Schizosaccharomyces pombe: one gene and its partners. The protein of the gene in region 2 binds, or shares a complex with, the protein of the main gene of each other region. Each region holds a gene or a part of one and is shown on either strand. Other genes may lie near its edges.

The links. Proteins that work in one complex are often made in the same cells at the same time.
Region 1: SPOM_SPBC16A3.14 (region 2) and mrps8 share a complex: the UniProt entries of both Schizosaccharomyces pombe proteins name them as parts of the mitochondrial small ribosomal subunit.
Region 3: SPOM_SPBC16A3.14 (region 2) and rsm24 share a complex: the UniProt entries of both Schizosaccharomyces pombe proteins name them as parts of the mitochondrial small ribosomal subunit.

What each region holds. Positions count from the first base shown.
Region 1 is NC_003421.2:330,497-334,080, forward strand, and holds mrps8 (mitochondrial 37S ribosomal protein uS8m), read right to left. Parts: upstream 2,071-3,584; 5' UTR 1,988-2,070; coding exon 1,529-1,987; 3' UTR 984-1,528; downstream 1-983. UniProt on the Schizosaccharomyces pombe protein: Component of the mitochondrial ribosome (mitoribosome), a dedicated translation machinery responsible for the synthesis of mitochondrial genome-encoded proteins, including at least some of the essential transmembrane subunits of the mitochondrial respiratory chain.
Region 2 is NC_003423.3:4,269,526-4,273,768, forward strand, and holds SPOM_SPBC16A3.14 (mitochondrial ribosomal protein subunit S26), read right to left. Parts: upstream 2,508-4,243; 5' UTR 2,413-2,507; coding exon 1,606-2,412; 3' UTR 1,466-1,605; downstream 1-1,465. Other genes in the region: nda2 (tubulin alpha 1), read left to right, coding at 1-923; meu7 (alpha-amylase 4), read right to left, coding at 2,816-4,243. UniProt on the Schizosaccharomyces pombe protein: Component of the mitochondrial ribosome (mitoribosome), a dedicated translation machinery responsible for the synthesis of mitochondrial genome-encoded proteins, including at least some of the essential transmembrane subunits of the mitochondrial respiratory chain.
Region 3 is NC_003424.3:562,147-566,056, reverse strand, and holds rsm24 (mitochondrial 37S ribosomal protein mS35), read right to left. Parts: upstream 2,132-3,910; 5' UTR 1,888-2,131; coding exon 1,593-1,887; intron 1,584-1,592; exon of another isoform or gene 1,505-1,583; coding exon 1,023-1,504; 3' UTR 984-1,022; downstream 1-983. Other genes in the region: phospholipase D Pld1, read left to right, coding at 1-889. UniProt on the Schizosaccharomyces pombe protein: Component of the mitochondrial ribosome (mitoribosome), a dedicated translation machinery responsible for the synthesis of mitochondrial genome-encoded proteins, including at least some of the essential transmembrane subunits of the mitochondrial respiratory chain.

The DNA of each region.
Region 1 (3,584 bases), on a different chromosome or scaffold from region 2:
GTGGAAGGTATAAATGTATAAGTCTATATTATCAATTGAATTAAATGCAAATCAAGATGACTATTTGTTGTTTAAGAGACGAAATATTGTTTAGTGGATCATTGAGTAAGGTTAGTTGGCTCTGTGCTATGAAATTGAAATAGTGATTTGAGCTGCAGCAGGACAATCGACCATGTATGGAATGAAGAGAAAATATTGTTAATAAAGATCGGTTAATAGGAATAATGAATTTTTTTGGTTATTTAAATTTACTGTGGACTAAAGCCATTTGCTTCTGACAATAAAATCTTGAACATGTGAAAATAATAAATATATAAAGAAAGAAATTTGAGCTTTGCTTGAACAATTCTGAAAATAACTACCCAAGTTTTTTGTCATTTCCACGTGTTATTTAGTTATATTTCTTAAAAAGAGTCCCGTCCTTTTTATATTTACAACATCATTAGTATTTAAAATAAATCTTAGCCTACTTAAAATCCAAGGCGCAAATGATTGTTTATCACAGCATAAATTCTTGCAATTAACGAAAGAGTGTACATTCATCAATCAATCATTTTACTAAATAACAATGCCGATGAAAACAGACTCAATACTGCTTAATTACTCAAATACATTACCAGGATTGCCCAGTTAAAGAGTATGTAGAGAAAGATATTATTCCTACTCAGCGTTGGCACAAAATTCATTGTGTTAAATGCTTTATTTACAAAGCTGTAATTGCTGATAAAAAGTGTCACAAACCGGGATCGAACCGATGACCAACAGATCTTCAGTCTGTCATGCTCCCAACTACACCATTGCGACTAGTTGTTATCCATAGTCATTATAGATCTAAATAAATTGTATTCTTAATAATGGTTTTATAATATATTTTTCAAATGCAGTATTGACAAATACATATCCTTGTCATTCACAGATTATACATTTGTAAATACTTCCTATGTACTTAATCAACCTTATTTAATTTACACAATGCTTTAGAAGTCGCATACAATCTCCATCGATTATATATTTTATAAAACGATTTTCCTTATGTATTTTAAACATGTTTATCATTACATTACTAGAGTAACACAAATATTTTTTCTATTCCAAAAAAGCTTCTGCGGGTATAATTTTAAGCATATGGAATATTGTGAGTTGACAAAAGGAGACGGGATAAATTCAGGTGTAAAAAAACATTTATTCGTAAATCACAAGTCGAATAATAGTAAAACAAAAGGATTTATGTTTTGGCGGAATGGGAATTAAGACTATGTTTTTTAATGAATGGGATGTGTAAATATGCAGTATCTCAATTCACAAACTATTATGAAAGGAGTGGGAGATTTAAAAGGAATTCTGCCATTGATCCTTAGCTGAAGAGAAGGAAAACTTAAACATATTAGTTTAAATCTAACCAGCCTGTTAGATATTGCTTCAATTTTCAAAACAAATGAGTAATGTTTATTCTCTTATTAACATAGAGAAAGGAGACAATGTATCCGGAAAGAAGTTGTACGTAATAATAACTTTTTCCATCGAAGCCTCATTTAACTCGACATATAACGTTTCCTCCCAAATTATTCTTAATTGCATCGTCAATACTCATTATACCATGTTTAGTTTCTACAATTCCAACTTCTGCAGGCTCCAACCCATTCACAAAGCTAACTTTCCTTCCTTTGGCAAATTGCAACAACTCAGAAGGAGTCAAGTTCACCTTTCTACTAGGCTTTGATACTGCACGTATGTAGTGAAGAACCGGTTTTCCCTCAAAGTACTTTAAACCCAACCATAGACGGCGGGTCGCTACATTTTGCCTAGTGGTGATTGTGGGTAAAGCATCGGGTCCATGAATATCTCCGCGTTGAATCGAGCTTAAAAATCCTTGATGATACAAAACAGCACATAACTCGAGCACACTGTTACAGTTAGGAACGCTTGCTAACGACTTGCGAGCGCGAAATGAATTTTGCAAATGCGAAAAAACATAATGCAATTGCATTTCGACTTTTTTAACACAATCCTAATCTTTTATAAGCAGTCCAACAATAAAAGCCTTTTTTTTCTATACAGAATGGTGTTTTGAGGAAAGAAAAGAGGTATGAATGCAGTTTAGCTAGTCACTTCCAAATACCTCTCTCTGTACTGGAAGAATAGTAAGTAGTGAACGGTGTAGCTAGTGTTACACACTATTAGCAAGTTAATGGACATTGCAGTAATCACTGGATAGTAGTATATTAACGACACGATACTAAAGTTCACAATAAATCACTATATAATAAACTAAAAGCACCGGTTTACTATGTTTGGAAAACAAGGCGCAAAATTGCAAAACCAACGGTTATTACGGCAAAAGCCGTCTACCAAATGTTAGAGATTTACTTTGTACAGAATAAAATATGGATCTAAATCGCTGTGTCAATCTGTTAATATTATAGCATTCAAATTACCATGAAACCCACAAAGTTGTCAGAAGTGGGAAGCGAATTTTTGTGCGTTTAGTAGTTCCAAAATCCTCGAAAGGTATTCGCAAATGTAATAATCGAAAAAATTATAATAAGCAGTGTTCAAAAAAACAAGCGGTACAACAGCGAACGCCTGTAAAATATAGGGATGTAAAAAAGCATTTGAATACAATGTAAATTCACAATTGTATAGGATTATAAAAATTTTTTATAAAATAATGGCATAACGAATTCTTTACTGATATTTTAATTACAGAAAAGAAAACGTGAATTGAAAACAAAAGCCTAACAGTATGGAGAACGATTTATAATGCTTCTTTATGTGGCCGATCGTCCAGAAATTACTGATTTACTCAGTATAATATATTGATTTAATTAAGTTTCGCTTCTTAAAAAGGTTGTTAGTTTCGGTAAGCTGTTTAACGAGTATTACACAAAGCACAAGGCATTTTAATTTCATAAAAAAATGTCCGTTTTAATTTGAAAGACGTTCGAAATCAACACTTTTCAAAAATCAGTGCAATTACCGAAATCATTTACTTGAAAGTTGCCAGATTAATATTCTCAAAAGCAGGTTGTAAAAATGTATTATAACTATAAAGAGGATTTCAAGCAAGCAAATATAACAAGAAAAAGAAAACAAGTAGTAATCATTGATTTTGAACCTCCCGGTATTGTTAATATAGAACTAGTAAACAAATAGTAATTCAATGTACTATAATTTTCGTCAATGGTTACAAATAACAATTGGGTTCACTTTTATTGAATCACAACCACGATATAAAGAAAGAAGGGTTAAAACTCAAAAATCCGTCGATTTGGAACCTTTAAAAAAACATAAACCTATACAAAATTATGCGGTAATTTAAGAAAAGCTGTTAAAGATAAGCTTATATTTCTTATGTTCAGAAATTAAATAAGACTTATGTTGCGTTTGCGTGCTCAGAGAAGTATAGAAATAGACCTTAGTATATAGAAAATTCGAATGTATTAAGCATGTAAATAACAAAGTGATAAATAAAATATTTTCTTGATAGTTTTTTGATTTAATATAGTTTATAACTCAAGTAGGTTTTATATACAAGACAACTATGATGAGTCCTAATCTAGGGTTTGGTATATATAAGCTTCCAA
Region 2 (4,243 bases):
CCGGCTCGGGTTTGGGTGCTTTACTTCTGGAGCGCTTGAACATGGAATACGGAAAGAAATCTAACCTCCAATTTTCTGTTTATCCCGCCCCTCAAGTGAGCACATCCGTTGTTGAACCTTACAACTCTGTGCTCACTACCCATGCTACTCTCGATAACTCTGACTGTACCTTTATGGTTGATAATGAGGCTTGTTACGATATCTGTCGCCGAAATCTTGACATTGAGCGTCCAACCTATGAAAACCTCAACCGCCTTATTGCTCAAGTTGTCTCTTCTATCACCGCTTCTCTTCGATTTGCTGGTAGCTTAAATGTTGACTTAAATGAGTTTCAAACTAATCTTGTGCCATACCCTCGTATTCACTTTCCTTTAGTCACTTATTCTCCTATTGTCAGTGCAGCTAAAGCATTCCATGAATCCAACAGCGTACAAGAGATTACGAATCAGTGCTTTGAGCCTTATAATCAAATGGTAAAATGTGATCCACGAACTGGCCGCTATATGGCTACTTGTCTTTTGTATCGTGGTGATGTTATCCCACGTGATGTCCAGGCTGCCGTTACTAGCATTAAATCTCGTCGCACCATCCAATTTGTTGATTGGTGCCCTACTGGTTTCAAAATCGGTATTTGCTATGAGCCACCCCAACACGTTCCTGGTAGTGGAATCGCTAAGGTAAATCGTGCTGTTTGTATGCTTTCAAATACCACCTCGATTGCTGAAGCTTGGTCTCGTCTGGACCACAAGTTTGACCTTATGTACAGCAAGCGTGCTTTTGTTCATTGGTATGTCGGTGAAGGTATGGAAGAAGGTGAATTTTCAGAAGCCAGAGAAGATTTGGCTGCCTTAGAAAGGGATTACGAAGAGGTTGGTCAAGATTCTATGGATAACGAAATGTACGAAGCTGACGAAGAGTATTAATTTATCCAATAATCGCTTTTATACGTTATTTCATTCGTTTTATAACTTGAAGATATCTTGCATCTACCCTTGTCTCTTTAATCTTTGTTTATTCAGCCCTGTGGTCAAATAACTAAAGGGTGTCTGTCTTTCTTTGAGAGTTAAAATGTTCACCCAGCGGCAAGGAGATAAATTGCTCGTCCACTTATCTCACTGATTTTTTAACTTGAACATTCTTTTTCTTTACTAGTCAATTCTCATTTAGATATCAATCTAATCCACTCTATCTTTGCAAATAAACCACCAGTAAAATTTCAATTTCTCCTTTCTGTGGTATCTTTTTTTTTTAATTTTGCATGAAAAAGAGACACTATAAACTGTAAATTACATTGTGTATTGGCGCTTTTCTAGCTTTACAAAAAAAATGTTTTTAATCTCAACCTCTAAGCAATAAATCGGTTAATTGGTTAATAAATTACTTAACTTATATGACTCGATTGCTCGGAATTAGCCTAAAATCATTTAGAATACGAGCATGAGCCAAAACAGTCTACTGTAGAAGTTTCAAGGACGAGTAGAGAAAACACAATTTTTATTAAAATTAGAATGAAATTTATAAGGTGAAAGTAGAAAAAGGCGTTTTTTTAAAATCATAACAAGATTGTGATGAGATATAATTATCTAAATTGATTGCACCTTTCTTTCATACCAAAGAATTAGTCAATCTTTCCTCAATGACAGACCAATCTATGCAATCAAACCATGTGTCGATGTATCTTGAGCGATTTAAAAGACCGTAATCTTTATAATATGCATGATTCCATAAACAAAGGTTTAAAATGGGAACATGCGCATATTTTCGAGGTCTGGCACTATAATCTGGCACACTAGAAATAAGATGGGGATCATTTGATTGCCATCTAGTCCAAAGATACGGAGAACCTGCTTGAAAAGTTCTCAGTAAGTTTAATCTATTATAATCATCAATTACAATCCAAAGCCAACATGCTCCAAAACTATTTGAGGCAAGCTCATGAATTTTAGAAAGTAAATTTTCTTTAGAACCAAAGTTTTCATTGACTGCTTTATTGATAGCGGCATTAGCTTCATATTTTGAGTTTTTTTTGGCATCTGCAGCTCTTTTTCCGATCAAGCTTTGAAAAAAGAAATGATTGTTGTAAGCTTGACTTGCAAACTGGAATGTGGCTGCATGCTCAGGCAAAGCGGCTGTTTGAAAGATAATGTTAAACACAGATGAATCCTCAAGTTCTGTTCCCTTCACTCGATCATTTAATTCTTTTACTACTTGACGTTGATGCTGGTCCCAGGCAATGTCAAGAGCTTCAGGACTGAAAAGTGGTAGCAAATTTCTTTGTGAAAGATTAGGAACTGTGTGGTAATTGTAGCAATAGTTTACTCGATGCACATTGTCTGTAACTGAACTACATCGTTTCAGAAGGTGAGTTATCGGTGAAAGCGCAAGCCCTTTTCGTAGACCTGTGTTGAGCATAAGCAAATTATCTGAATATTAGGTATAACTTGCTGAAATACCTATATAAACCAACAACGAAGTATTTAAGGGAACTGGACGTGTTTGGGTATCGCAGCTCGCCTTGTGTCAAATACAAGTTAGCCACACCACCGCAATTATGAATACGTTTGGACGGTTTGCGTCGGATATCATTATGGGAGTTTAAATTTTTTTGGCTAAAGCTTTACTTGAGTACTTTGTAATTTAAAGCCAAAAATTAAAATGGATTTACCCGTCTATTATTTATATTGAGGTGACTTATCGTTCATGAACTTCAGTACAGAGCCCTATGGGTCTGTAAACTAAGTCATCATACTTTATATGAAAAAGGTTTATGTAAAATAAAAAATCTGTATATTATTAGATTTCAAGGAACGTATACCTACAAAATCATTAACAAAGATAATAAAAGAGCGGCGAGGACATTGGTAAATCCTCGATTTTGCTCTGGTGCCTTTGATGTTTGGGCTTCTTCAACGTTAATGGAGAGAGAACCTTCACTGTTATAATCTTCAGTAAGCTGAATTGGAGATGGGCACAATCCCATCTCATAAGCCGATTCCTCTGGGTACAAGATCATGGGTTCACCGTTGCGTACCATAAATACCTGTCGATTATCTTGTACTGGAACGGACTTGCAAGATAATACGTCCATCCACTTGTGCTCTTCTGCCGAAACAGTATAATGGAAATGAATGTAATATGAACCTAAGTTGTTGAGTACGGTTATTACTTTGCCACGTCGTAAAAGCAATATTCTTTTATCAACGATGCTAATATCCGACTGCATATTTAAGAAAGCTTCTCCGTCTTTGCTTTCAATCATAGCTTTGCGGAAACGATTGATTGTAGACGTGAACTTATAGTAAGGATTTCTTTTTGGGAAACCTTTCTCCCAAATTGCAGGTCGATTATAAGGAACCTCTTCACCGCGCATGGCAAGTTCTTGGCCGTTGTACATCATAGGAATACCATCTCCCATAAGAACAAAAGCAATTGCATTCTTTAAGGTGGCTGGATCACTAGAAATTGAAGCCATTCTAGGAAGGTCTTTGTTCTCAACGAAGTTTCCTAACAATAGGGGATTGACACACAAACCGCGCATGTCAGTCATTTTGTCGGCAAGATCAACAATTCCCTCTGGATTATTCATCAAAAATGCTTTTACAGCAGATTCTCTAACAGGGAAGTTACTCAACCCTTCCAAGTCGTTTTGCCAATCACAAACTTTTAAAGAGTCGGAAGATTTCAAGTCACCCATGCAAAACACTCCAGCAGCTTTGCAAAAATCTGGCCAGTACTTTCTATATTTGTCACCCATAGCATCGAAACGAATACCATCAATTTGGAAAGTTTCTACAAATGTTTGAATATAGTCCTCGAGAGCCCCTTTAGCACTAGGACGCTCATGAACTGAATGGTCTTCATGGCAAGAGCAGTGTTCCTCGTGCTTCCAAGGCTTGTGATCGGGCTTGGTTCCATTGTGGGGAACTGGACGAGGGAACTTACCGTGATGGCAGTGTTCCTCGTGCTTCCAGGGTTTATGGTCAGGCTTGGTTACATTGTGAGGAACTGGACGAAGGAACTTACCATGGTGGCAGTGTTCCTCGTGCTTCCAAGGTTTGTGGTCAGGCTTGGTTCCATTATGAGGAACTGGGCGAGAGAACTTATCATGATGGCATGAGCAGTGTTCCTCGTGCTTCCATGGCTTGTGATCGGGCTTGGTTCCATTGTGGGGAACTGGACGAGGGAACCTACCGTGATGGCAGTGTTCCTCGTGCTTCCAGGGTTTATGGTCAGGCTTGGTTCC
Region 3 (3,910 bases), on a different chromosome or scaffold from region 2:
TCCAGACATCTTACGAAAAGCTGAAAAGAGTATGAAGAAACTAGATCAACGTGTCAGTTTAATTCCTTCTTCGATTGAATTCAATATTAAAACTCAAAAGGACAAGGTCGAGTTTGAAAAGAACTACGAGAAGTCTAAAAAAGGGCCTGATGTTATAGCCAACGCCCTAGTAGGCGGCATCCCCTTATCACTGAAAACAAAGGAGGACTCATTATATGAACTTTCCAAGTTCTCTCAATGTGGGGAGGATCAACGTCCAATGGTACTTAAAGACCCTGATCATCTAGTGCCTGAACCCAGTCGTCCACACTGTGGAAATGGACTTGTGTTTTATGATGATATACCATTGCTTGAGGTGAATCCTATTAGTGGAGAAACAATTCCTAAATTTGACGCTTCAAGCTTTGAGGACCCCGTCTGCGATGAATTTTTTGAAGACATATGGTCTAAAGTGGCTTCAAACAATACTACTATTTATCGGCACATATTTCGATGTGTACCGGATGACGAGATGCTAACGTGGGAATCATATAATGAGTGGAAAAAATATGGAAAACGCTTTAAAGAAGAGCAAGCCCGCTGGCGTCAGGAGGAGTTGTCAAATCTACACGAAACTCATGAAAAGTCAGAGAATGATCCAAAAAATCCAAAGGCTGGTTCCCAAGGTAGTGGTAACACGAGTGCAAGTGAAGATTCGAAGACAGAGAAACCAAAAACCCGTACTAATAATGGTTTACAAGTTCCTGACAAACGTGTAGTTTACGACTTACTACGTGGCATTCGGGGACAGTTGGTAGAACTTCCATTAAAATGGATGTCTACCGAATCAAACGCAAGAAATTGGCTCAGTAGTATTGACAAAATCCCTCCGTTAGAAATTTATGATTAGAGAAACAGTACCTTTTATACTACAGTTTTATTTCATCTTAATATAGTAATGAGAAGGATTAATTCCTTCAATATTAGCTTACATTATAGACTCGTTAATTTTAATAGTAACTTAAACAAACTTTCCTTTCATATTATTCATCTGTAGTTGCTATCGATTCTCGTTCAAGTACTGTATTATGTGATTGCTTGCCAATCGTTGTTTTCTTTTTAGAAGTGAGTGTAGTTGCGTCTGCGAGCCATTCCTGTGGCATCCGTTTATCACACTTCTTGTATTTCCAATGGCCAGTATTCAATGGGACATGTGAAAATTTTTCAGCATTTCTCTTCGATTCTTCAATGAGCGAAGTTAATATCTTTATAAGATGATATTTATTTTGTAGTGCAGAAGAATACTTGTCGGAAGATATTCTGACTAAATCCTCCTCCGGATTATATCTTGGTCCAACCAATAATCGTAATACATGTCGTTGTTTCTCCTCTAGCAAAGGAATATTCGTAACTTTAAATGTAACAACGACCTTCGGATTCATTTTCTCAAACGAAGACATTTGGACATCAGATTCAAACCTAAAGATCTGGCTATCAGCAGGCTTTTTAAAAGACTGTGTGTAAGCTATAATTGTCAGAGAAAATGGAACATTAAGCATATTAAAGTGATTGTGAAATAGAATTCCTAAGGTAAAACTACCCAGTAAACTTACGCGTAAGTCCAGGAAGCTCATAAGCAGCTTTCCTATACAATTCACGTATGACCTCGTGCTCTTGTATTTTCTGCCATGATAGATTATTGGAATGGACGTTATCATCAATTGTTTTCAATTCCTTCTCGTCATGAGGCTCGATTCCAAAAGGCGCTGACACATAAGCACTTCGCTTAAATCTTGTAAAATAGAAAACAGAGAAAGCTCTACTAGTAGCACAAAAGCTTGATTTGGAAAGTTGCCCGAGGAATATGGCATCTGCTTTCAATAAAGATAAAAGGGGATTAAAAGCCATTTTATAACCACCCAAAACACTAAATATATGTAATATTTGTATTATAAAAAAAAATAAACCACATTTAACGAATGCGCAGTAGTGTATGATACCGGATTTTATATTTTCTTTGAAACGAAAAGAGTGGCCGTTATAAATGGAAATCTGAATCTAACAAAAACTTTTTTTCTAAAATTTAACAATCCAAATGCTCAAAACAATTAAATAAGCTACAAAAAGGTACTTGAAGGGGATAGTGAAGAATGTATAAACATTGTTGTCCTTGACTTGACTTCGTTGTATATAATTATAACACACTAAATCTTAGTAGTTAGAACCAGTAAAAACCACATAATAGACTGGAATGAAGGTTAGTAACGTAAAATAGCATCGATTCTACTCAATTGCATTTATAACATCTATTGAATAAAAACACCTAATAATACTTTCAAGCTTTTTTTTTTCTTAGGAATTTAATAGCACTTGCTTCCCATCCTTTTTTGGCATTCGCTGTTTAAAAAGTGTGTTAGTTATCCTTATATTTTGATTTTCGTAAGCAAGACTACACTACGTTACGCTGCGTATCACTATATGTCATCTGTTAGGATAGATTTAAGATTCGTTTACTAATAATTGCTGATAACTATTCTTTTGAGTACTTGTTTGTGTTTGATCATGTTTACTCCAAAAGATTATAAACAGAGTACATCTGAACAGAAACAGGTTCGTTTATATGTTAATTAATGGCAGGTAACAACGTAACCCATGTATAAATACTTACAACAAATTGCTACCCACATCACACCTATATATAATATGATATTACCGATCACAATGAAAACTCACAGAAGTCAAACAAGATACTACAATGCGCAGCTAGATAATATTGCACTTTCATTACTAGCGCTATTTAGTAAATAATTAAAAGAAGTTCGATTCAATTGTAAGTTTCATGAGAAAACAGGAAACTCCATTTAAGAATGATTTAAATATAAGAAAAAGACGCAATGTTTTTAAGAAAATGGGGTAAACAGAGTGATGGCAAGTCATCTGCTCAGCGTCTAGTCATTATTATTCCCTGTATGTGTTAATTCAAGCCTATCAAAGTAAAATAAAAAATTTTTTACGAAATAATCTTTTATTGAACTTGATTTAAAAAATCTGTATTTTTTATTTAACTATATTATTATGAACGTGAAATAGTGCTTAATTGGGTTCTTTAACCGTGATGTTTACAATGTTTGTATTGTATTACTTTTAAGTTAAGTAAAAACTAAATACCTTGACCCACATAACTTGTTCTTTGCAAAAATGTTAAGGAGCTGAGTATTTTAGAGTACTCAACACGAATGGAAGTCAATGCATATAACAATCTGTAGACAGTAATATTAGACTGTTAATGTTTACATGAGTCATTTGTAAAAAAAAAAAAAAAAAAAAAAAAATTATAAAATAATTGAATAAATAACCTATTACAGAAATCTTCAGACAACGATATTTTATTAATTTATTCCATTGCAATATTGCTTTAATACAATTTGGCTTGACATTGTGATGGAATTGACATGGATAATTTAAAATAATTAATTAAAAATTTTGTTGAAATTAATTGACTATTAACAATTCATGAAGTATCGTAAATCTGCCCTGATAAAATAAAATTTAAAAAAGTGTTGAAAGTGTTAATGGCTTTATAATTTGTAAACTTAGCCGTTTATTAAGTTTGAATATTGATAATTATTGAAGAATAAAGCATTATTTCCATTTTTTCTTCGTTGATTCATAGCTTTCATCAGACCTCTTCTGACCAAGGTTGACTAATGTATACAATTTGATTTTAATGACAATTCTTTCTTCTTATTAATAGTTTTTGCATAATTTTTCCCCAGCTTCTTATTTAATCCATCGAATATTTCAAATTTACTAACCCATCATCATTTTACCTTTAGATATTTTACGAGGAGCAACGCGTTACTTTAGCGGTTTAAAATTCTTTAGCTTTATGAATCAGTGTAAATTTCACTTTTGCATAAACACTAGTGTA